Linked DNA regions of Saccharomyces cerevisiae S288C. Each later gene encodes a partner of the first gene's protein in a complex. Each region holds a gene or a part of one and is shown in the gene's direction. Other genes may lie near its edges.

The links.
Region 2: the proteins of MPE1 (region 1) and YSH1 are in contact, whole or in part, in a crystal structure (PDB 6I1D), measured with the Saccharomyces cerevisiae proteins. Residues at the interface, in NP_012864.1 of Saccharomyces cerevisiae: Phe9 (codon at 3,374), Lys10 (codon at 3,377), Ser11 (codon at 3,380), Gln12 (codon at 3,383), Arg13 (codon at 3,386), Asn14 (codon at 3,389), Asn38 (codon at 3,461), Lys39 (codon at 3,464), Leu40 (codon at 3,467), Asp45 (codon at 3,482), Phe46 (codon at 3,485), Val74 (codon at 3,569), Lys75 (codon at 3,572), Arg76 (codon at 3,575), Ser77 (codon at 3,578), Pro78 (codon at 3,581); in NP_013379.1 of Saccharomyces cerevisiae: Arg22 (codon at 2,645), Tyr44 (codon at 2,711), Leu47 (codon at 2,720), Ala48 (codon at 2,723), Leu50 (codon at 2,729), Pro51 (codon at 2,732), Phe52 (codon at 2,735), Tyr53 (codon at 2,738), Asp54 (codon at 2,741), Glu55 (codon at 2,744), Tyr79 (codon at 2,816), Gln82 (codon at 2,825), Arg83 (codon at 2,828), Thr84 (codon at 2,831), Asn85 (codon at 2,834), Asn464 (codon at 3,971), Cys465 (codon at 3,974).
Region 3: MPE1 (region 1) and FIP1 share a complex: the UniProt entries of both Saccharomyces cerevisiae proteins name them as parts of the cleavage and polyadenylation factor (CPF) complex.
Region 4: MPE1 (region 1) and PTI1 share a complex: the UniProt entries of both Saccharomyces cerevisiae proteins name them as parts of the cleavage and polyadenylation factor (CPF) complex.

What each region holds. Positions count from the first base shown.
Region 1 is NC_001143.9:326,867-332,792, reverse strand, and holds MPE1 (cleavage polyadenylation factor subunit MPE1), read left to right. Parts: upstream 1-3,349; coding exon 3,350-4,675; downstream 4,676-5,926. Other genes in the region: NUP120 (Nup120p), read left to right, coding at 1-1,937; TOA2 (transcription initiation factor IIA subunit gamma), read right to left, coding at 2,259-2,627; fructose-bisphosphate aldolase FBA1, read left to right, coding at 5,306-5,926. UniProt on the Saccharomyces cerevisiae protein: Component of the cleavage and polyadenylation factor (CPF) complex, which plays a key role in polyadenylation-dependent pre-mRNA 3'-end formation and cooperates with cleavage factors including the CFIA complex and NAB4/CFIB.
Region 2 is NC_001144.5:695,392-702,076, reverse strand, and holds YSH1 (cleavage polyadenylation factor subunit YSH1), read left to right. Parts: upstream 1-2,581; coding exon 2,582-4,921; downstream 4,922-6,685. Other genes in the region: YLR278C (uncharacterized protein), read left to right, coding at 1-2,078; DBP9 (ATP-dependent DNA/RNA helicase), read left to right, coding at 5,247-6,685. UniProt on the Saccharomyces cerevisiae protein: Component of the cleavage and polyadenylation factor (CPF) complex, which plays a key role in polyadenylation-dependent pre-mRNA 3'-end formation and cooperates with cleavage factors including the CFIA complex and NAB4/CFIB. Has endonuclease activity.
Region 3 is NC_001142.9:601,166-606,795, reverse strand, and holds FIP1 (cleavage polyadenylation factor subunit FIP1), read left to right. Parts: upstream 1-2,592; coding exon 2,593-3,576; downstream 3,577-5,630. Other genes in the region: transcription factor IME1, read left to right, coding at 1,145-2,227; BUD4 (Bud4p), read right to left, coding at 3,718-5,630. UniProt on the Saccharomyces cerevisiae protein: Polymerase-regulating component of the cleavage and polyadenylation factor (CPF) complex, which plays a key role in polyadenylation-dependent pre-mRNA 3'-end formation and cooperates with cleavage factors including the CFIA complex and NAB4/CFIB.
Region 4 is NC_001139.9:796,496-802,323, forward strand, and holds PTI1 (cleavage polyadenylation factor subunit PTI1), read left to right. Parts: upstream 1-4,050; coding exon 4,051-5,328; downstream 5,329-5,828. Other genes in the region: YGR153W (uncharacterized protein), read left to right, coding at 1-250; GTO1 (omega-class glutathione transferase), read right to left, coding at 303-1,373; cystathionine beta-synthase CYS4, read left to right, coding at 2,048-3,571. UniProt on the Saccharomyces cerevisiae protein: Component of the cleavage and polyadenylation factor (CPF) complex, which plays a key role in polyadenylation-dependent pre-mRNA 3'-end formation and cooperates with cleavage factors including the CFIA complex and NAB4/CFIB.

The sequences.
Region 1 (5,926 bases):
ATGATTTGGATATCGTTACAAAGACTGGAGATGTTGAGAGGGGTTTCTGTAATTTGAAATCAAGATATGGTACCCAAATTTTTGAACGTGCACAGCAAATATTGAGTGAAAATAAGATTATTATGGCTCATAACGAAGATGAAGAATATTTGGCTAATTTAGAAACAATATTGAGAGACGTAAAAACCGCATTCAACGAGGCTTCTTCTATAACACTTTATGGCGATGAAATTATTCTCGTCAATTGTTTCCAACCGTATAATCATTCCCTTTACAAGCTGAATACTACTGTGGAGAATTGGTTTTATAATATGCACTCTGAAACTGATGGTTCTGAATTGTTCAAGTATTTAAGGACATTGAATGGTTTTGCTTCTACTTTGTCAAATGATGTTCTTAGATCCATTTCTAAGAAGTTTCTTGATATAATAACAGGAGAGCTGCCTGATTCTATGACTACCGTAGAAAAATTTACGGACATTTTCAAAAATTGCCTAGAAAATCAATTTGAAATCACAAATCTAAAGATTCTTTTCGACGAATTAAACTCTTTTGATATACCCGTTGTTTTAAATGATTTAATCAATAACCAAATGAAGCCTGGTATATTTTGGAAAAAGGATTTCATCTCTGCAATCAAATTCGATGGTTTCACAAGTATAATTTCCCTAGAATCTCTTCACCAGTTACTTTCCATACATTATCGTATTACTTTACAAGTATTGTTAACATTCGTTCTGTTCGATCTTGATACCGAAATTTTCGGACAGCATATATCTACATTATTGGATTTGCATTATAAGCAATTTTTATTGTTAAACCTTTATAGACAAGATAAGTGTCTGTTGGCGGAAGTTCTTCTCAAGGATTCTTCTGAATTCTCTTTCGGTGTCAAATTTTTTAACTACGGCCAACTCATTGCCTATATCGATTCCTTAAACTCTAATGTTTACAATGCTTCCATCACTGAAAATTCTTTCTTTATGACGTTTTTCCGCTCATATATCATTGAAAACACATCTCATAAGAATATAAGGTTCTTTCTCGAGAACGTTGAATGCCCCTTCTACTTACGCCACAACGAGGTGCAAGAATTTATGTTTGCCATGACGTTATTTAGTTGTGGTAATTTCGATCAATCCTATGAAATTTTTCAACTACACGATTATCCGGAGGCTATCAATGATAAATTGCCGACATTCTTAGAAGACCTTAAGAGTGAAAACTATCACGGTGATAGTATATGGAAAGATCTTTTGTGCACCTTTACAGTTCCATATAGGCATTCTGCATTCTATTATCAATTATCTCTCTTATTTGATAGAAATAACAGCCAAGAATTTGCTTTGAAATGTATATCTAAGTCAGCAGAATATTCATTAAAAGAAATTCAGATTGAAGAACTGCAAGACTTCAAAGAAAAACAGCATATTCATTATTTAAATCTTTTAATCCACTTCAGAATGTTTGAAGAAGTCTTGGATGTTTTGAGATTGGGTCACGAGTGTCTTTCCGACACAGTAAGAACAAATTTTCTCCAATTATTATTACAGGAAGACATATATTCACGAGATTTTTTCAGCACACTTCTGCGCTTGTGTAACGCACATTCAGACAATGGCGAGCTATATCTTCGTACAGTAGATATTAAAATAGTGGATAGTATTCTGTCACAAAATCTACGGAGTGGTGATTGGGAGTGTTTTAAGAAACTTTATTGTTTTAGAATGTTGAACAAAAGCGAGAGGGCTGCTGCAGAAGTACTGTACCAGTACATATTAATGCAAGCTGATCTTGATGTTATTCGAAAGAGAAAATGTTACCTAATGGTCATCAACGTTTTATCTAGCTTTGATAGTGCATACGATCAATGGATTCTAAACGGAAGTAAAGTGGTTACTTTAACTGATTTAAGAGATGAGTTACGAGGTCTATAGTGAATATATAAACTGTAAATTAATACTTCATTTAAAAAATTGATCAACTCAAATCCGAATATTAGCACCATGATCTTCGTTTGTTTTTTAAGTAAAAAGATTGAACTTTAAATCTAAATTATTATTACATGAATGTACAGACAGGAAAAATAAAAAACAAAAACAGAAGAATCACAAGTTCCCTAATATAAAAGAATACAAAACATTATTTCATGACACTGTTCCTAGAGCTTGTATTAAAAGCGGTAGAAGAGAGGAGATAATAGAGAAATTTCAATGTAACTATTGGTCAACAAAGCATCCGGGCATATAGCATAGATATTACTCGCTCTTTTTTGAGTTACATGCCACAATCCTCAACTTATCCACCGAAATTACACTTTGGCTATCTCCAGACCCGTTCTGGGAGGCGTCGCGGTGGCTGTCCTCAACAGTAACCTGACAATTTTTTACGATAAAAGTCCAAACATCATCGCAAAATCCATATGTGTCCAGGTTTCCTTTCACAGTCAATTTAGATTGGGTATTGTCTTTTAAAGTCTCAGCCACCACTTTGTCAAATGTCTCTAAAACACGCATAGCTAACGACGCTTCTATTCTCCCATCACTAATTAAAGTATCAAGAGCATCCACCAAACTATTCCCTATAGTACTTCTACGATATAATTCGTAATACCCGGGTACTGCCATTTATCCTTACTGTTATCTTCGATAGCCTGTGTCCCCCTCCTAACCTCTAAGTGCATCTTCTACTTATTCCTTATTCGGTCGAATATTTCACAAAGTATTCTAAGGCGTTAAGAAAATATTGTTATTAGTAAAATTAGCTTACCCGGCAATACAACAATAATGAAGCTAACATTATGTTGTATTGACAATTCAGTTCATGTTTGACATTTGCCTAGCAGAAGACATTATCTGCCATGCAACCTGAAAATTCATAGAACTTTTGGAACTTATTTATCTATCTTTCTTCAATTTCTTTGGTTAACACTTTTTTTTTATGTTTTTTTACGTTTTGAGATCATAAATATTTGGAAATATAAATAATCACAAATTCATAACAACTCTTTTTTTAGATAAAGTAAAAACACAGTTATGTATGTAAAGTATTTTAAAACATAAAAAAGGATGATCGACTTGATATATTCATTATCATGTAGTGTATAAGCGGTAAATATAACTACCTTAATCCATTGCTGGTGCAATAACCTTCCTTATGCCATTATATTATGTCACAACATTGTAATTCAGGCGGGTAACTTTACTGAAAGTTAATACAATGATGATGAATATCAAGCATATTGTTAATAACCAAGTTTATGGCCAACATAAAATAAGCAAGAACAATCAAGAGGGTACTGAAATTTCGGTAGCTCTCATCATATCGGCAGAGACTGGAATAGTGTAACATGAGTAGCACGATATTTTACCGCTTTAAGTCTCAACGAAACACATCAAGAATTTTATTTGATGGTACCGGCCTGACAGTATTTGATTTGAAAAGGGAAATTATTCAAGAGAACAAACTAGGTGACGGCACAGATTTCCAATTAAAAATTTACAACCCAGATACAGAAGAGGAATACGACGATGATGCCTTTGTTATACCTAGATCTACTAGTGTCATAGTAAAAAGATCTCCAGCAATTAAATCATTCTCCGTACACAGTCGACTTAAAGGGAATGTGGGAGCAGCAGCTCTTGGGAACGCAACAAGGTATGTTACTGGTAGGCCAAGAGTGTTGCAAAAGAGACAACACACTGCTACAACCACTGCTAATGTTAGTGGTACAACGGAAGAAGAAAGAATTGCTAGTATGTTTGCCACACAAGAAAATCAATGGGAACAAACGCAAGAAGAAATGTCTGCAGCCACACCTGTTTTTTTCAAGTCACAGACGAATAAGAATTCTGCACAAGAAAACGAAGGCCCACCGCCACCAGGTTATATGTGCTATCGTTGTGGGGGTAGAGACCACTGGATTAAAAATTGTCCAACTAACAGCGATCCAAATTTTGAAGGAAAAAGAATCAGAAGAACCACAGGTATTCCAAAGAAGTTTTTAAAATCCATTGAAATAGATCCCGAGACAATGACACCGGAAGAGATGGCTCAGCGAAAGATTATGATTACGGACGAAGGCAAGTTCGTGGTACAAGTTGAAGACAAACAATCATGGGAAGACTACCAAAGGAAAAGAGAGAACCGTCAAATTGATGGTGATGAAACCATTTGGAGAAAAGGCCATTTCAAAGATCTTCCTGACGATTTAAAATGTCCCTTGACAGGTGGTCTTTTGAGGCAGCCGGTAAAGACAAGCAAGTGCTGTAACATAGATTTCTCAAAAGAGGCGCTGGAAAATGCACTGGTAGAGAGCGACTTTGTATGCCCCAATTGCGAAACCCGCGATATCCTTCTCGATTCTTTAGTACCCGACCAGGACAAGGAAAAGGAGGTCGAAACGTTTTTGAAGAAACAAGAGGAACTACACGGAAGCTCTAAAGATGGCAACCAGCCAGAAACTAAGAAAATGAAGTTGATGGATCCAACTGGCACCGCTGGCTTGAACAACAATACCAGCCTTCCAACTTCTGTAAATAACGGCGGTACGCCAGTGCCACCAGTACCGTTACCTTTCGGTATACCTCCTTTCCCCATGTTTCCAATGCCCTTCATGCCTCCAACGGCTACTATCACAAATCCTCATCAAGCTGACGCAAGCCCTAAGAAATGAATAACAATACTGACAGTACTAAATAATTGCCTACTTGGCTTCACATACGTTGCATACGTCGATATAGATAATAATGATAATGACAGCAGGATTATCGTAATACGTAATAGTTGAAAATCTCAAAAATGTGTGGGTCATTACGTAAATAATGATAGGAATGGGATTCTTCTATTTTTCCTTTTTCCATTCTAGCAGCCGTCGGGAAAACGTGGCATCCTCTCTTTCGGGCTCAATTGGAGTCACGCTGCCGTGAGCATCCTCTCTTTCCATATCTAACAACTGAGCACGTAACCAATGGAAAAGCATGAGCTTAGCGTTGCTCCAAAAAAGTATTGGATGGTTAATACCATTTGTCTGTTCTCTTCTGACTTTGACTCCTCAAAAAAAAAAAATCTACAATCAACAGATCGCTTCAATTACGCCCTCACAAAAACTTTTTTCCTTCTTCTTCGCCCACGTTAAATTTTATCCCTCATGTTGTCTAACGGATTTCTGCACTTGATTTATTATAAAAAGACAAAGACATAATACTTCTCTATCAATTTCAGTTATTGTTCTTCCTTGCGTTATTCTTCTGTTCTTCTTTTTCTTTTGTCATATATAACCATAACCAAGTAATACATATTCAAAATGGGTGTTGAACAAATCTTAAAGAGAAAGACCGGTGTCATCGTTGGTGAAGATGTCCACAACTTATTCACTTACGCTAAGGAACACAAGTTCGCTATTCCAGCTATTAACGTCACCTCTTCTTCTACTGCCGTCGCTGCTTTAGAAGCTGCTAGAGACAGCAAGTCCCCAATCATTTTGCAAACCTCTAACGGTGGTGCTGCTTACTTCGCTGGTAAGGGTATCTCTAACGAAGGTCAAAATGCTTCCATCAAGGGTGCTATTGCCGCTGCCCACTACATCAGATCCATTGCTCCAGCTTACGGTATCCCAGTTGTCTTACACTCTGACCACTGTGCCAAGAAGTTGTTGCCATGGTTCGATGGTATGTTGGAAGCTGATGAAGCTTACTTCAAGGAACACGGTGAACCATTATTCTCCTCCCACATGTTGGATTTGTCTGAAGAAACCGATGAAGAAAACATCTCTACTTGTGTCAAGTACTTCAAGAGAATGGCCGCTATGGACCAATGGTTAGAAATGGAAATCGGTATTACCGGTGGTGAAGAAGATGGTGTTAACAACGAAAACGCTGACAAGGAAGACTTGTACACCAAGCCAGAACAAGTTTACAACGTCTAC
Region 2 (6,685 bases), on another chromosome or scaffold:
TGCATACGGTTTTTGTAGCTGGCGTAACTTTAATCTACTGTATGTGGTTAGCCAGGAATTTTGACGATCAAAGGAGGAAGAAATTAGGCGATGCTTCGAAGCATACTAGACCTTTAATCAGTGCAAGTCTCTTTTCGACGATGGATGATTTGAGAGCTTGCTCCGTTTGTTTATATGTTATGACAGAAAGGTCTAATTTTGCAAGAACCTTTAGAGATACTTTCGATCAGTTAATGAATGCCACGGTAGGTAATTTGATTGAAAGATGTGGTCCAGACTCTTCTGAGTTAATTTTCATGGCTAGTAGTGTCGCCAAGCGTACTGAACCCAAGAACATCAATGATGAGGCCAATAAGGCAATTTCATCTGGGGATACTCTTCATGATTCTAACTCCGCAAATGCAGCTAATCTATCCAATTCAAACGATAAAAATATATCTCATAATGGCGGTATGCCGCCTGCTGTGGCTAGAATATTTGGTAAAGGACAAGCTGAAGAGCACGCCGGTTTTGTGGAAAATTCACAAGTGGATTTGGCTGAACAAGAGAAATTCAAGAAGAAGCAAGGTGTTTTAGAAAAGACCTCTGTACCCAAAAGTTTAGCTCACCTATTAACCAAAATGGATGACAGGTCACGTATTTCAAATTCTTCAATGTCTTATACAACATCTTCTTCGTCATCATCTTCTTCTTCGTCATCATCGTCGACATTATCGTTTCCTTCTTCCCAAGAAAAAAACCTGAAAATCAATGTAAACAATGATAACAATGGTATGACCATCAGCAGCGTCAACAGAGAACACAACAATAATCACAACAATAATAATGATAATAATAATAATAATAACAATAATAATAATAATAGTAATAATAATAATAATGTTAATAATAATGATAATGAAAGTAATAGCAGAAGCACTACCAACAACAGCTGCAATAATGGCAACAACAGCCAGTATGTTCGTAACAACAACGTAACTATGGAAAATGATGTAGAAAGGCCTATTCAAGACCAATATATCGTCAAGAAACCAACCAACCAAACAGAGTTTGATTGGCAAGTATTTCAACAGCAGGCCTTTCTACAACAGCAACTAGCTCAGCACAATTTACAAGCGTATCTATCGTCCCTGAACACCGATACTATGACCAATAGAAGTCCTTCAAAATCTTCTAGCATATCTACAGCCTCTTCGCATTCGGATCCGATTCCAATAGCGATGACGCAAAGCCCAACTCCATATCCTCAAACTTCCAATATGCTACCGCAACAGCATGTATCACGACCACTGCCGCAACAACAGCGGGAGCAGCCACAACAACATATTACTTCTCCACAAAGATTCTCAGAAAGCAATTTTACGAATCAATTAAACAATGGTATGATCAACAGTAATCCTCTACAATCTGCAATATTCTCTAACCATACAAGTGAAAATAAGCAATTAAGAGATGTCGAAGAATCAAATTTCAGTACATCACCCCTAAGAGCAGATTATGGCAATAATATTATCTCCTCGATACCAGCGTCATTTACTAGCAATTCAATTCCGGTCAGTGTCAAACAAGCTCGAAATGGCTCTTCTTCGGGCGATATACTTTTCAGCAACGGTGCTCATGACATGATCAACAATATTTCCACCTGGACCAATAACTCCGTTCTAGATGCTTTGAATAGCAAGTCCATACTACAAACAATATTTCCCCAGAGTCAAGAGCCTTCATCTCTGTCCATGGACAAACAGCAGCAACAACATCAACAACAAAATATGTGTTCTGAAAACAATGTAACCGCTAATAATTTTCAACAGACGCAGAATGACCCTTCGTATAACAGAAATTTGTTCATGATGTCCAATCAGGAAGGTGTACAATATAATCTTGACGAAACAGAGAAGAATGGACCTAAAACACAGGTGGAAGCAAACACTAGCGCAAATCTGCATTTCGACAATGTTATTCCTACAGTAACTAACGCAGACATCAGGAAAAAGCGTTCTAACTGGGATAACATGATGACATCTGGTCCGGTAGAAGACTTTTGGACGATTAATGATGACTACGGCTTTTTAACGTGATACTACATTAATATAATAGTATGTACAAACTCATTCCTTTTTTTTTTTTTTTTTTTTTTCTCTTTTTTTTTAAAAGAACAACTAAATCGCTTTTTTTAATTATGATATGGGTCATATCTTATAAGCCTAATCTAAAACACATTTTTTTCTTTCATTTATATTGTTTTTAAAATCAATAAAACTCTTTCTTTCCTGTATAAAGTCCTCTCCAAAAGACTAAGTAGCGTGTTTGCAAATAAATACGGGTAAGCAGTTATTCTGGCCGAAAATTATGAAAAACTAGCGGATCTTTAACAACTTCTACTGCTTCAGCGCAATACATATTGAGATCACATCTAATAGGTTCAAAATGTTCACGGGTATAAGCGTTTATTTCTTTTACCCTTGTTTTCAGTACTTCAAAAGTTACAGCACAAAAGAAACATTGTATTATCAATTGAATTTTGTCCATTGAGGAAATAAAAAGTAACATAATAAGTTAACATTAATAAGTATACGCATATATGGAGCGAACAAATACAACAACATTCAAATTTTTTTCATTGGGAGGAAGTAACGAAGTTGGACGATCATGTCATATATTGCAATATAAAGGTAAAACAGTGATGCTCGACGCAGGAATTCATCCGGCATATCAAGGATTAGCTTCATTACCTTTTTACGATGAATTTGATCTTTCCAAAGTCGATATCTTACTGATATCACATTTCCATTTAGACCATGCCGCTTCACTTCCGTATGTGATGCAACGGACTAACTTTCAAGGCAGAGTTTTCATGACACATCCAACCAAAGCCATTTACAGATGGCTACTGCGAGATTTTGTAAGAGTTACTAGTATAGGTTCTTCATCCTCCTCTATGGGGACTAAAGACGAAGGTCTATTCTCAGATGAGGATTTAGTTGATTCTTTCGATAAAATTGAAACGGTGGACTATCATTCTACTGTTGACGTCAATGGTATCAAATTTACGGCATTCCATGCAGGCCATGTATTGGGTGCAGCGATGTTTCAAATAGAGATTGCTGGCCTTAGGGTGTTATTCACAGGTGACTATTCGAGAGAAGTAGATCGTCACTTAAATTCTGCTGAGGTGCCTCCACTTTCATCCAACGTATTAATTGTGGAATCTACCTTTGGTACCGCTACTCACGAGCCCCGTTTAAATAGAGAAAGGAAGCTAACCCAACTAATCCATTCCACAGTGATGAGAGGAGGCCGTGTTCTACTGCCTGTTTTTGCTTTAGGGAGAGCTCAAGAAATCATGCTTATACTGGATGAGTACTGGTCTCAACATGCTGATGAACTCGGTGGTGGACAAGTCCCAATATTTTATGCATCAAATTTGGCAAAAAAATGTATGAGCGTTTTTCAAACCTATGTAAATATGATGAATGATGACATTAGAAAAAAATTTAGAGACTCTCAGACTAATCCCTTCATATTCAAAAATATATCTTATCTTAGAAACTTGGAGGATTTCCAAGATTTTGGTCCCAGTGTGATGTTGGCCTCACCAGGTATGCTGCAAAGTGGGTTATCAAGAGATTTACTTGAAAGGTGGTGCCCTGAAGATAAAAATCTAGTACTAATCACCGGTTACTCCATCGAAGGAACAATGGCGAAATTTATTATGCTTGAGCCAGATACAATACCTTCCATAAATAATCCGGAAATAACCATTCCAAGACGTTGTCAAGTTGAAGAAATCTCCTTTGCCGCACACGTTGACTTCCAGGAAAATTTAGAATTTATTGAAAAGATTAGTGCGCCAAATATCATCCTTGTTCATGGAGAAGCCAATCCCATGGGCCGTTTGAAATCTGCATTGTTATCCAATTTCGCGTCTTTAAAGGGTACAGATAATGAAGTCCATGTTTTTAATCCTAGAAACTGTGTTGAAGTAGATCTTGAATTTCAAGGTGTCAAGGTTGCAAAAGCTGTGGGAAATATTGTGAACGAAATATATAAAGAAGAAAACGTAGAGATAAAGGAAGAAATTGCGGCTAAAATTGAACCTATAAAGGAAGAAAACGAAGACAACTTGGATTCTCAAGCAGAAAAAGGTTTGGTTGATGAAGAGGAACACAAAGACATAGTCGTTTCTGGGATTCTAGTTTCAGATGACAAAAATTTCGAATTAGACTTCCTTTCTTTGTCTGATTTAAGAGAGCACCATCCCGATCTTTCTACAACGATATTAAGAGAGCGCCAGTCAGTTCGTGTAAATTGTAAAAAGGAGCTAATTTACTGGCACATTTTACAAATGTTTGGAGAGGCTGAAGTTCTTCAAGATGATGATAGAGTAACAAATCAAGAACCAAAGGTTAAAGAAGAGTCAAAAGACAATCTGACCAATACAGGTAAATTGATTCTACAGATAATGGGTGATATTAAGTTAACTATTGTTAATACTCTAGCCGTTGTGGAATGGACTCAAGATTTAATGAATGACACTGTAGCAGACTCCATTATTGCTATACTTATGAATGTGGATTCAGCTCCCGCCAGTGTCAAGCTTTCGAGTCATTCTTGTGATGATCATGATCATAACAATGTGCAGTCTAATGCACAAGGTAAGATTGATGAAGTTGAGAGGGTGAAGCAAATCTCAAGGTTGTTTAAAGAACAGTTTGGTGACTGTTTTACTTTATTTCTCAATAAAGATGAATATGCAAGTAATAAAGAGGAAACTATAACTGGAGTGGTTACCATAGGTAAAAGCACTGCTAAGATTGACTTCAACAATATGAAAATTTTAGAATGTAATTCAAATCCTTTGAAAGGTAGGGTGGAAAGCCTCTTAAATATTGGTGGTAATTTGGTCACACCGCTATGTTAAAAACAGTTACGCATACTAAGTAGACTACTTTATAGAAGTAATACCAAACCAAAATCTGGTTAGAACTGCCTTTTATTGTTTACCTTAATCACTCTTTACGTAATGAAACCTAGAGATGAAATTTTAAAAATTTTTTTTCACGAACATAAAGAATAACTCTTCTAGACCATCTCATCTCATCTCATCTCATCTCATTTCATTTCGATTCTTCTAATTTCTTTCATTGAGTAAGAGCCTTTTGTTTTGGCTGATAGTTATAGTCAATCTACAATTTATCTCACAAAAGAAATAGACTAAGCCAAAACTGCAACGAAAGATCAAAAAAATGAGCTATGAGAAAAAGTCTGTGGAAGGCGCTTATATTGACGATTCTACAACGTTCGAAGCATTTCATCTCGACTCTCGTTTATTACAAGCTATTAAGAATATAGGATTTCAGTACCCAACATTAATTCAATCACATGCTATTCCTTTGGCTTTACAACAGAAGAGAGATATTATAGCAAAGGCCGCTACAGGTTCCGGAAAAACTTTGGCATACCTCATTCCTGTAATTGAAACTATCCTAGAATATAAAAAAACAATTGATAACGGAGAGGAAAATGGTACACTAGGTATTATACTTGTTCCAACAAGAGAACTGGCTCAACAAGTATATAATGTTTTAGAAAAACTAGTCTTATATTGTTCAAAAGATATAAGAACTCTGAACATATCATCCGATATGTCTGACTCAGTTTTGAGCACTCTACTTATGGATCAACCAGAAATCATAGTTGGTACACCTGGTAAATTATTGGATTTGTTGCAAACAAAGATTAATTCTATCTCATTGAACGAACTAAAATTTTTAGTAGTTGATGAGGTGGATTTAGTGTTAACATTTGGTTATCAAGATGATTTAAACAAAATTGGAGAGTACTTACCATTGAAAAAAAATTTACAAACATTTTTGATGAGTGCAACCCTAAATGACGATATACAGGCTTTGAAACAAAAATTTTGTCGTTCTCCAGCTATTCTTAAATTCAATGACGAGGAAATAAATAAGAACCAAAACAAATTACTTCAATATTACGTTAAAGTCAGTGAATTTGACAAATTCTTACTATGCTATGTCATTTTTAAACTTAACTTAATCAAGGGTAAAACATTAATTTTTGTAAATAATATTGACAGAGGATATAGGCTCAAGCTAGTTATGGAACAATTTGGTATCAAGTCCTGTATTTTAAACAGCGAGCTACCCGTTAATTCGAGGCAACATATTGTTGACCAATTCAATAAAAACGTTTACCAACTATTGATTGCCACAGATGACACCGAGTACATAAAAGAGGAAGATGACGAAATAGAAGAAGGGCACAATACAGAAAATCAAGAAGAAAAAAGCTTGGAAGGCGAGCCTGAGAACGATAAGAAACCAAGCAAGAAAAAGAAGGTCCAAGTGAAGAAAGATAAGGAATATGGTGTTTCTCGTGGTGTTGATTTCAAAAATGTTGCATGTGTCCTCAATTTCGATTTACCTACGACGGCTAAGTCCTACGTGCATAGAGTAGGTAGAACTGCTCGTGGCGGAAAGACCGGTACTGCAATTTCATTCGTAGTCCCACTGAAAGAATTTGGTAAGCATAAGCCATCAATGCTACAGACAGCAAAGAAGGATGAAAGGATTCTTTCACGAATCATCAAACAACAGAGCAAACTTGGATTAGAATTACAGCCTTACAAATTCGATCAAAAGCAGGTCGAGGCGTTCCGTTA
Region 3 (5,630 bases), on another chromosome or scaffold:
TCGAGGGGAAGGATCAAAGGCGCATGCGTGCCCGCAGGAGGGGGCGCCAGGATTGGGGGTAGATACAACATCAAGGAAGCGTCATGGTGGCTTCTTGGGTCTTAAATACGCAGGGAATTAAAGTTTCATTTATGTGCCTTTACATGCACTCAAAAACCTTCTTAGTTACAGGAAAAGGTAAAGATACGATAAGAAAAGCCTTTGAACTGCCCATCCTGCATCCTAACACAGATCTAACTCACTATTCGGGTAAGGAAGTGTCATGCATGTCTGCAAAGGGACTAGAAGAAAGTTACATGATTACATAAGCAAAAAATCGGAATTACAGACACACCATTTTTTATCCTGCGGCCCCATTTCCGTCTTCGAGGGAAAGGATCAAAGGCGCTTAGCCCAATCTTGATGATTCACCGGGGAAGAAAGGAATTACAGAACCCCCAGCCACGTAACACAGCCAATTAGTTTTCTATATCGGGAAACGTGATTGATTGCGCAATTTTGGCTGCATCAGAATACATCGATGAGATCTAGAGCACCCTTTGATGGTTTAAGTCCGGTTTAAAGTTAGTAGATCAATGATTTCGTAGTGCATTTTAAAGGGAGCGCTTATCCATGGGTGATTGCGTTTACAACGTTTTGTGTGTACTCATAATAGCCAATCTAAAATTAAACAACAACAACAACGCACAATTAATATGTATCAGCCCCAATACCTTTTTCTCTTACTGTAATTTACTACTAAATTGGGGTCGGACGTTTTTGATCTTGTTCCTTGCCTGTTGTTTACCTTGTATATTACTTTTCCTCTTTTATGTATTTAAGGTAAATTAATTATCTTTTGATCTTAATATTTTTCTCAAAATGCTTCCCTTGTAGTTCGGTATTTTTGCTTCTTCAGATATTTAAACTACCGTATACCATAACTGTTTCGTGAAGTAGATACAAACATCGACTATCCTATTACGATTTATTTTACATTATCATATTATAAATCGACCAGTAGTATTGTTAAAGATTAAAAGCATAATATACTACTGTCATTAGTCACCTACAGAGAAACAAATTCCTACTGGCACCCATTACTGGTGAAAAAGGAAAAAAATAATAAAAGAAAAGCTTTTCTATTCCTCTCCCCACAAACAAAATGCAAGCGGATATGCATGGAAAACTTCACGCTGCCTTAGAAGATGGTTTCTTCCTCTTTCCTTTTGAACAGCAACAACAACCTAACATTTATTATGACACAACCACCGATCAAGAAGACCGTCCTTGTTTTTCTTTTGGATCTACAATTTCCCCTAGAAGTTGGCATTTTGAAAAGTCTGACAAAATTGCCTCATCTCAGCTGCAGAACTTGGTTCATACACAACCAATTCATTTAATTAATCCTCAAATATTGTTCAATGAAGAGTTTCTGAATTTGGAAAATATTGATTCTCAGCCTATTTCCAAGGAAACGAAAACTACGAAGGACTGCACAATGGCAACTGGTCCTGAAAGAGGAAAAAAGAGCTCTGAAAGTACCAGATCCTCTTCATTATCATCTCTTTTTTCTAATGATGAATCCGCATCTACGTTCCACTCATCATTCAATAACCATGATAACTTTCAAAAGAGCAACAGAAATGGAGATGATATCGATATTAGTGACACAATAAAATATGAAACTAATACAAATGCACAAAAAGATATCAAAATATTCCAAGAAAATTTTGAATTCAATGAATTCCCATACACACAAGACTTCTACCCATATACCACTAATTATACCTATTCAAAACCCACAAATATTCATGAATCAATAAATTCAAAAAACACGGATTCATACTCCCAATATCAAGATCAGTTTCCACCACATACTGATAACATACATTCCTTTAATAATCGTCACTATAGCAACCATAAAAGCACTAATTGTAATTACTATAATAATACCAGCAATAATAACAACGCCTCCGATAATGTATATGAGGCAGATCCATTTATAGATGAACCTCAGGTGCCCTCCTACTATTACCCATTAGAAATTGCCTTCGACGTTGAAAAATCACCACCGCCATCACTACAAAAATTAAATTCAAAAGAGTTAGAATTCCTAAAAAAGTTGAACTCCAAACTGTCAAGATATGCTGCGGCTTACTCCTTCAGCAGTTCTAATGATCAAGATTATTATGACAAGGTCAGGTTTCAAGAAATATCCTACAAGTTTAGTAAAACCTATTCTTAATTCTCGAAAAGTACTACAATCTTCCCCCTTCCCTCAAAATATATCCATTCACACTCATTTCTTTATTTCCATTGTCTCACTCAAATTGCTAAGAATTTGTGTATTTGCATATATATATATTATATATAGGTATATATATGTATTCAATGTCTCAAGCTCCATGACATAATACCGTAGCGTTATTAGCCTTATCGTATGTCGCGATGGGAAAGGAGATTCGTTTTAATCTTGAAAAACCTTCGTAGCGAATAATGCGACATAAATCTTGAGAGAGTACATCACCAAATTCACTTTGTTAAACCGCACCATCGTGCTTTGCATTCTTATTCCTTTTGCCTACACTAAAATTATTAGCATTTCTCTAAATGAGCTCCAGTGAAGACGAAGACGACAAGTTCTTGTATGGTTCCGACTCCGAATTAGCACTACCTTCATCTAAACGATCAAGAGATGATGAAGCAGACGCAGGTGCGTCCAGTAATCCTGATATAGTTAAAAGGCAAAAATTCGACTCTCCCGTGGAAGAAACTCCAGCTACTGCCAGAGATGATCGTTCTGATGAAGATATCTACTCTGACTCCTCAGATGACGATAGTGATTCTGACCTAGAGGTTATCATAAGTCTGGGTCCTGACCCTACTAGGTTAGATGCAAAACTACTCGATTCTTATTCTACCGCAGCGACATCTTCAAGCAAAGACGTAATTAGCGTAGCTACAGATGTATCCAATACCATCACAAAGACATCAGATGAAAGACTAATAACAGAAGGAGAAGCAAATCAAGGTGTAACGGCAACGACCGTAAAAGCTACAGAGAGCGATGGAAATGTACCGAAAGCAATGACTGGTTCTATAGACCTGGATAAAGAGGGAATCTTTGATAGTGTTGGCATAACGACAATAGATCCTGAAGTATTAAAGGAGAAACCCTGGAGGCAACCGGGGGCCAACTTAAGTGATTATTTCAATTACGGTTTTAACGAATTTACCTGGATGGAGTATTTACATAGACAGGAAAAACTACAACAAGATTATAATCCTAGGAGGATCCTAATGGGCCTATTATCCCTCCAACAGCAAGGGAAGTTGAATTCCGCGAATGATACAGACTCAAACCTCGGTAATATAATTGATAACAACAACAACGTAAACAATGCAAATATGTCTAATCTGAACAGTAATATGGGTAATAGTATGTCTGGAACACCAAACCCTCCCGCTCCACCAATGCATCCAAGCTTCCCACCCTTACCTATGTTTGGTAGCTTTCCACCATTCCCCATGCCAGGTATGATGCCACCCATGAACCAACAGCCTAATCAAAATCAAAATCAAAATTCGAAATGAATGGGGATCTGTGAAATTGAAATAAAAATATATCGTCCATGATTCACGTATTTACTCTTATTATGTGTATTTAATTAATCTTTAAACTAAAGACCTCTCAGTCATCAGATTATATGCTGTTTTCATTCCATTAATCACCTTCTAATTAAAATCTTGCTTCAAATTATGACCGGTTGTTCGAGTCTTTTCCTCCTCAGCTAACTTTTCACAATACTTTTTCACCCAGGGTTGATGGAAAACATTCAACTCAACAACTTCCTGGAGCTTATTGTACCAATCACTTTTTTCCTCATTAGAGCATTCCGCGTTGAAAGTAATTCTTTCACCATCGTCAAATACTAGCTGGAAGCATTCATTAAAGAGTACCCAATCTGTAAAATTCCTTTGCCCTCCATTATCCGCCTGGATGTCTTCATTACGTAGGACTTTCGTGACTTTCAACAGATTAATATCGATCTTAGCCTTTCTAGAGATTTCATGATAACCAGAAAGTTGCGAGCCGTGCAGTTTGAAAAACCTGTTTTCTATCTTTCCTTTCAGATCACCACCATCCTGCAATAAATACCCTTCTTTATAGATATTTTGTTGCAACTTGTATTTGGAAACAATCTTATTGACCAATGAAAATTGTTTGGGAAATTGTTCAAAGGCAGAAGTTCTTTCTAAGAAACATGCTTCCACATCCAACGAAGCCACTTTGTGAGGCGCCTTGCGTGGTAACTCGTACAGCCTTTTTGAGCCGTGAATTTTGTCTGCGATTCTACTCCACTTGTTAATCATATTGTAATGCATATGACTGGTATTAAATGCCACGTTTTTCAAAAACTCTTCATTAATTTCAATTTCACAACGAGCAAATGAACCGTCTTGTGCAAATAGATAATCCCACTCATCTTGTTTAGGTTTTTTCTGTACATACTTCTTTTCAAATTTATACTTTGTCTTTCCAAAAAAACTCTTACCCACCGGCACCTTGTCTACTATTTCGACCAATTCATGTCGAGGTTTTTCATATTTACATTTTAATGTGATAACACATTTTTTGTAGCTATCTCTTTCAGAAGAAGCGGAGGATGTTTCGGCTTTTCCTTTAAAATCTATGGGCAATTCAAATTCCTTATTGATCCTGATGTTACCGTCATACGGAAGCGACTCCCAGGGTGTCTGAACGACATTTTCCCCATTGTCAAAAACAATAGCATATGTTGCTCTATGACTCTTAGTTCCATATAATGCAAGCGTGGAAATAGCCTTTATACTTAAATAAAGTGTTCCCATATCCGGAAATTCTTGTTCAACGTCTTGTGGTTCTTCAAGTTGAGTTATCGTTTCTTCTTTTGCTTCGACGTTATCTTTTGTCTGCGCTAGCAGTGGAGGAATATCTTGTTTCAAACCATCGGTTTCTTGCTGCGTCATTGGCTCTATTTCCTCTTCAGCCTTAATGTTTATTTCATTATTCTCTTGTTTGTTTCCAGCTTTCACGACCTTGAAAGGACTGCTAACATGCCGTTTTATTGGACTTATACTACGAACTGGAGTGGAAGGGGTCATTTTATCTTCTTCGAAATCGTCGAACATGTTCAAAGTGATGGCATCACTATTATTCATGCCCTCTGGACGAGAGTCAGTATCGCTGAAACTTGCCTCATATCCTTTAATGCTTGCAGCTAGCGCAATTGAAACATCCTTAACTGGTGTTTTCAGCATTCCAATCCCCAAACCAGTCCTTGGTTCAGTTATACGCTCTTCTCTAATTTTTTCCAAATCTGCGTCATCTTTAGTATCTGATTCTAATAATTTTTGCAGGACGTCGGGGGCAATAGGTTGCTTTCTTATGGAAGGTGGCGGTTTTAGTTCGTAACTGCTTTCCCAAAGAGAATTGAAGCTTTTCTTTGAACTGTCTCTTTGAAAACTGGATGAATCATCCGGCCCATGATTGAAAGATGTGGAGTCATGATCCAAAGCGTCTAGAAAATTAGCAAAATCCTGACCCAATTCCTCATCAAAGGATAAAGATAGTAAATCGCCCCTATTAAAAGTGATATCACCCGCAC
Region 4 (5,828 bases), on another chromosome or scaffold:
GAGGCATGAAATGGTAGAACATGGAGAGGAGAGTGTAAAACCGTGTGGTTGTCATAAATCGAGAAAAGCAAAATGCTTCAAAGAACTGGAGATGGAGAATATAGAAAAGGGCGATATAAAGAAGAGTCTCTTTTACAGAGACATAATTGAATGGTGCAGAGACTATGAAGTCAATAAAACTAGGGAAGTCTGTGTTCCGTCTATACACGAGTTTTACCTACATGGAAATGGAAGTGACAACCTCTTTTGAAGTATAGCCATGCATATAAATATATGTGTGTGTAAGAAAATATTAGAAGTTTTCATAATCTAGAAATGTCAGGCTTTGGGCCTAATGGCACTATACCAAACTGATTGATCTTGTTCCTACTTACTTCCATCCTGATGTAAAAGAGCTTAATATGATTAAAATCTGTAGTAAATCTAAACTCTGCGTAATTCCAGTATAGATTAATCAACCACAAATGAAGGTACGGGAAACCATCCCTTATAGTTTTCAAATTGCATTTGAAGTGCTGCACGTACACGACGTCAAATCTAATTATTGATGGATACAATCTGATATCCGCTTCAGTTAACCTCTGTCCTAAAACAAAATATTTAGCCAAGATTTTCTGTTTGTTACCACTGAATTGCTCCTCTAAGCGCTTATAATTTTCTTTTAGTACACATTCCATCTTCTGCAAGTTTTCAAACAGTGTTTTTACTTCAGTTTCGTAAATCTTTCCGTTTTCTGCTAATCCGACTTTATAGACACCAAGATTAATCTTCGGATGAACCCATTTGATGTTCTTATCAATCTCGTCTATTAAATCATGCGGAACTAGATCAATCACGTTCGTTTCTTCGCTTTGGATAAATTCATCAAACACGCCACTGTTCAAAATTCTTATGATATCGCCACTCTCATTGTTAACAATTTTCCTTGTTTTAGAATCCCACAGAACAGGCACAGTGAACTTTGTACCGGGGTACTTAGGATCATTTAAGTAGTACAACTCGCTTAACCTTGATATATTTTCCACCGGGTCGAAAGCGCCATCCACGAACAACCTTGCAGAGTCATTGTTCACATCACCTAACTCCTCAGATTCGTCTAATTTAGCTGAAGCAATGCCACCAGTGGCAGTAAAGAATCTCTCTTTATATTTTTCCGGCCGGTGTGGAGCAGGTAAGAAACGGGCACCCTTGGAGTCTAATTGCCAGTGAGATAACACAAGCCCTAGAACAGGTTCTAATTTCTTCAAAGACCTGGCAAGAATGGCTCTATGAGTGAATGGACACCCAAGGGCCCCGTAAATATAATACCTTCCTTTTTCTGGTTTAAAAACAGAATGTGTCTTAGAAATTGTTCCCTTGTAAGATACTGACATGGCTTACTGTTTATGATTATTTTTACGAGTATTTTCCTCTATAAGTGGCCATCTCTCCAATTGGCAAAGTCAAGACTTTTGTTATGTCAATATGTGCTACCAAAAATCAAGGGTATTTTCCCACCAGAGCTTATCAATGGCAACTGTGAGATATGAACAGCAGTTAGTAAGGGTGTGTTCTCATCCGACCCTCTGATTCATTTGGTGGCCATTACATTTTCCCTCAATGACACATTCCCCTATTTCATAACTGATTAAAATGGTAATGGCACGTGATAGTAGTGGCTCACAAAACAAAATTTTCTTTCTCAGCGCTGACAAAGCTTCATTTGCATTCTAACCTTATCACAACAACTTCAACTTCACCCAAGTAAGGATAATCAGCTCTGTCGTGACTGATAAATGCTATATCCGGCATATGCAGTCCACACGGCATTACCGTTTCACTAATTTATTGCCATCTTCCTCCACAGTTTTGCACCGAAAGGAAAAAAAGAAACCAACACCGAAAATTTTTTTCTCCTAAAGGTTAAAGTAAACGCAAGGCACTTCACCAGGCTTGTATATATAAATGTCGTGATGCTTCTATGCCAAAGTAAAAGGCAACACTTGAAGATTTCGTTGTAGGCCACTTGCTCAAAGGACATCTAGATAAATACGACGTAAGAATAAAAATGACTAAATCTGAGCAGCAAGCCGATTCAAGACATAACGTTATCGACTTAGTTGGTAACACCCCATTGATCGCACTGAAAAAATTGCCTAAGGCTTTGGGTATCAAACCACAAATTTATGCTAAGCTGGAACTATACAATCCAGGTGGTTCCATCAAAGACAGAATTGCCAAGTCTATGGTGGAAGAAGCTGAAGCTTCCGGTAGAATTCATCCTTCCAGATCTACTCTGATCGAACCTACTTCTGGTAACACCGGTATCGGTCTAGCTTTAATCGGCGCCATCAAAGGTTACAGAACTATCATCACCTTGCCGGAAAAAATGTCTAACGAGAAAGTTTCTGTCCTAAAGGCTCTGGGTGCTGAAATCATCAGAACTCCAACTGCTGCTGCCTGGGATTCTCCAGAATCACATATTGGTGTTGCTAAGAAGTTGGAAAAAGAGATTCCTGGTGCTGTTATACTTGACCAATATAACAATATGATGAACCCAGAAGCTCATTACTTTGGTACTGGTCGCGAAATCCAAAGACAGCTAGAAGACTTGAATTTATTTGATAATCTACGCGCTGTTGTTGCTGGTGCTGGTACTGGTGGGACTATTAGCGGTATTTCCAAGTACTTGAAAGAACAGAATGATAAGATCCAAATCGTTGGTGCTGACCCATTCGGTTCAATTTTAGCCCAACCTGAAAACTTGAATAAGACTGATATCACTGACTACAAAGTTGAGGGTATTGGTTATGATTTTGTTCCTCAGGTTTTGGACAGAAAATTAATTGATGTTTGGTATAAGACAGACGACAAGCCTTCTTTCAAATACGCCAGACAATTGATTTCTAACGAAGGTGTCTTGGTGGGTGGTTCTTCCGGTTCTGCCTTCACTGCGGTTGTGAAATACTGTGAAGACCACCCTGAACTGACTGAAGATGATGTCATTGTTGCCATATTCCCAGATTCCATCAGGTCGTACCTAACCAAATTCGTCGATGACGAATGGTTGAAAAAGAACAATTTGTGGGATGATGACGTGTTGGCCCGTTTTGACTCTTCAAAGCTGGAGGCTTCGACGACAAAATACGCTGATGTGTTTGGTAACGCTACTGTAAAGGATCTTCACTTGAAACCGGTTGTTTCCGTTAAGGAAACCGCTAAGGTCACTGATGTTATCAAGATATTAAAAGACAATGGCTTTGACCAATTGCCTGTGTTGACTGAAGACGGCAAGTTGTCTGGTTTAGTTACTCTCTCTGAGCTTCTAAGAAAACTATCAATCAATAATTCAAACAACGACAACACTATAAAGGGTAAATACTTGGACTTCAAGAAATTAAACAATTTCAATGATGTTTCCTCTTACAACGAAAATAAATCCGGTAAGAAGAAGTTTATTAAATTCGATGAAAACTCAAAGCTATCTGACTTGAATCGTTTCTTTGAAAAAAACTCATCTGCCGTTATCACTGATGGCTTGAAACCAATCCATATCGTTACTAAGATGGATTTACTGAGCTACTTAGCATAAATAAGAACCCACGCTTCAAATAAAAGCAAACATAGAAGCAAAATCCGTCATTCCTTTCCTATTCAATTGCACCGTTCTCTTTATATAACTACTTAATTAAATAGCGCCTATACGAAGCAGCATTGTTCTATTATTTTTACAAATTCCTTATCATGCATGCATCACATCAGTGTTTGAATCTGTTAACTTTTCACTTTATTGCTCTTACCCGACTCTGAAGAAAAACAAAAAAACAGCGACATGTTGGAAAGGTCGGGCAGTAAAGCAGAATTTCAGAAATACTAGTACGATTGTTTGAGGTCTTGCGAAACCGTGCATTCATAATAGCACCTTTTTCAGTCGCTCATCCGGTCGTCCTATCTGTAAACGTCACTGTCAAACACGTTGCATTGATTAGATTTTATTATTTTATATATAGGTATATTTAGAAAACTCACAACTGGAGAAGACGAAGAACGAAGAACGAAGGAAAAAAATTGATGACAGATCCCAGAAGAAGAACAGGCCGTCATTTCTTGACACCGGAGAATTTATCCTCTACATTACAAATCACAAACTTACCTCCAGAATGGAACCAAGATATAATTACTTCGGTCGTGGCCGGTTCTGGTCCAGTTATAGATATAAAAGCTAAGAATGACCCGAGAACTGGTAAACTAACCGGTGTACTGTTCGATTATTTGACTAGTAAAGATTGTAAACGCGCTTGGGAAATTTTAAATAGAATTGAAAACTTTCCCGTAAAGATAGAGCAAATAATCCCACCAAATTATAAGGACCATCTTAGAGAAACAGCAAATAAAAATTCTCAAAAGCAGGTATTACAACTTAATAGAGATTCGTACCCCTTCGAGGCGGGTTTGGAGCTACCTTTCGAAATGGTGACAGAAGTCCCCATTCCTAGGCGACCACCGCCACCACAGGCTGCAAATAACACAAACTCTGTATCAAATAACACAAACATTCAATTCCCCGACATACTAAGTAAAGCATCTAAACACTTGCCAAGTTTCCAAGATGGCTCGATTATTGCACCAGACAAAATTTCACAAAATTTAAGTAAAATTCCGCCGTTGCAACTTATTGAAATTATATCAAATTTGAAAATATTATCAAACCAAGAAAACATCCAAAAATCGCAATTAGAATCTTTCTTAGATACTAACAGTGATATCACAATATCAGTGACCCAAGCCCTACTAGAAATGGGATTTATAGACTACAGCGTGGTGACTAAAGTGTTGAAATCCCAAGTTGGCGAGGCCCCATCTTTGCTTTCGAGTAATAACACAAGTAATTCGAACACCCCCGTAAGCGTAATTAGAAATAACACTCCGTTGCATGTACCTTCTAATGAAGTCAGCAACAATCCTAACAATATGCCACTGAACGTAGCTATGCCAATGCCTATGTCGACACCACCATTTATCCCTTTACCTCTGCAACAACAACCGTTCGGTTTTGCGCCACCGGGCCCTTTCATGCCTCCAGCTCAAGGCCCCTCCATGGGACAGCCTGTGTTGGCAAATCAACTCGGCCAGGTCCAGCAACAAAATATAAGTTCTACAGAAGGACCCTCTAACGCGAATAAAGCGAATGACAGCGGCACCATTAATATGGCGAAACTGCAATTACTACCTGAAAACCAACAAGATATGATCAAACAAGTTCTTACTTTGACACCTGCCCAGATCCAAAGTTTACCAAGTGACCAGCAACTTATGGTGGAAAACTTTAGAAAAGAATATATAATCTAAGTAATCAGAGCCATAGCGTATCAGAAAACCACACCTAATTAGATGGTTCTTGCATCTGTACCTCTTATCACTAAAAGCGGCACTAAACTTCCAACATTAAATGTTTGCCTTGTTAAATATATATTTTTGCCTTGGTTTAAATTGGTCAAGACAGTCAATTGCCACACTTTTCTCATGCCGCATTCATTATTCGCGAAGTTTTCCACACAAAACTGTGAAAATGAACGGCGATGCCAGAAACGGCAAAACCTCAAATGTTAGATAACGTGGATCTCCGACACATGTGAATTTATAAGTAGGCATATGAAAATACAGATTCTTTCCACTGTGTTCCCTTTTATTCCCTTCTCATGTGAAGAGTTCACACCAAATCTTCAAAATATAACTAATATAGTAGAGTTTGATTCAAAGGACCTTTTTTTTTGCCTCTTTGATTAGTTTATCTTCTTTTCTTCATTTTATCCCCTAATTTTATACGTTAGTTCAACCTAACAATCCAG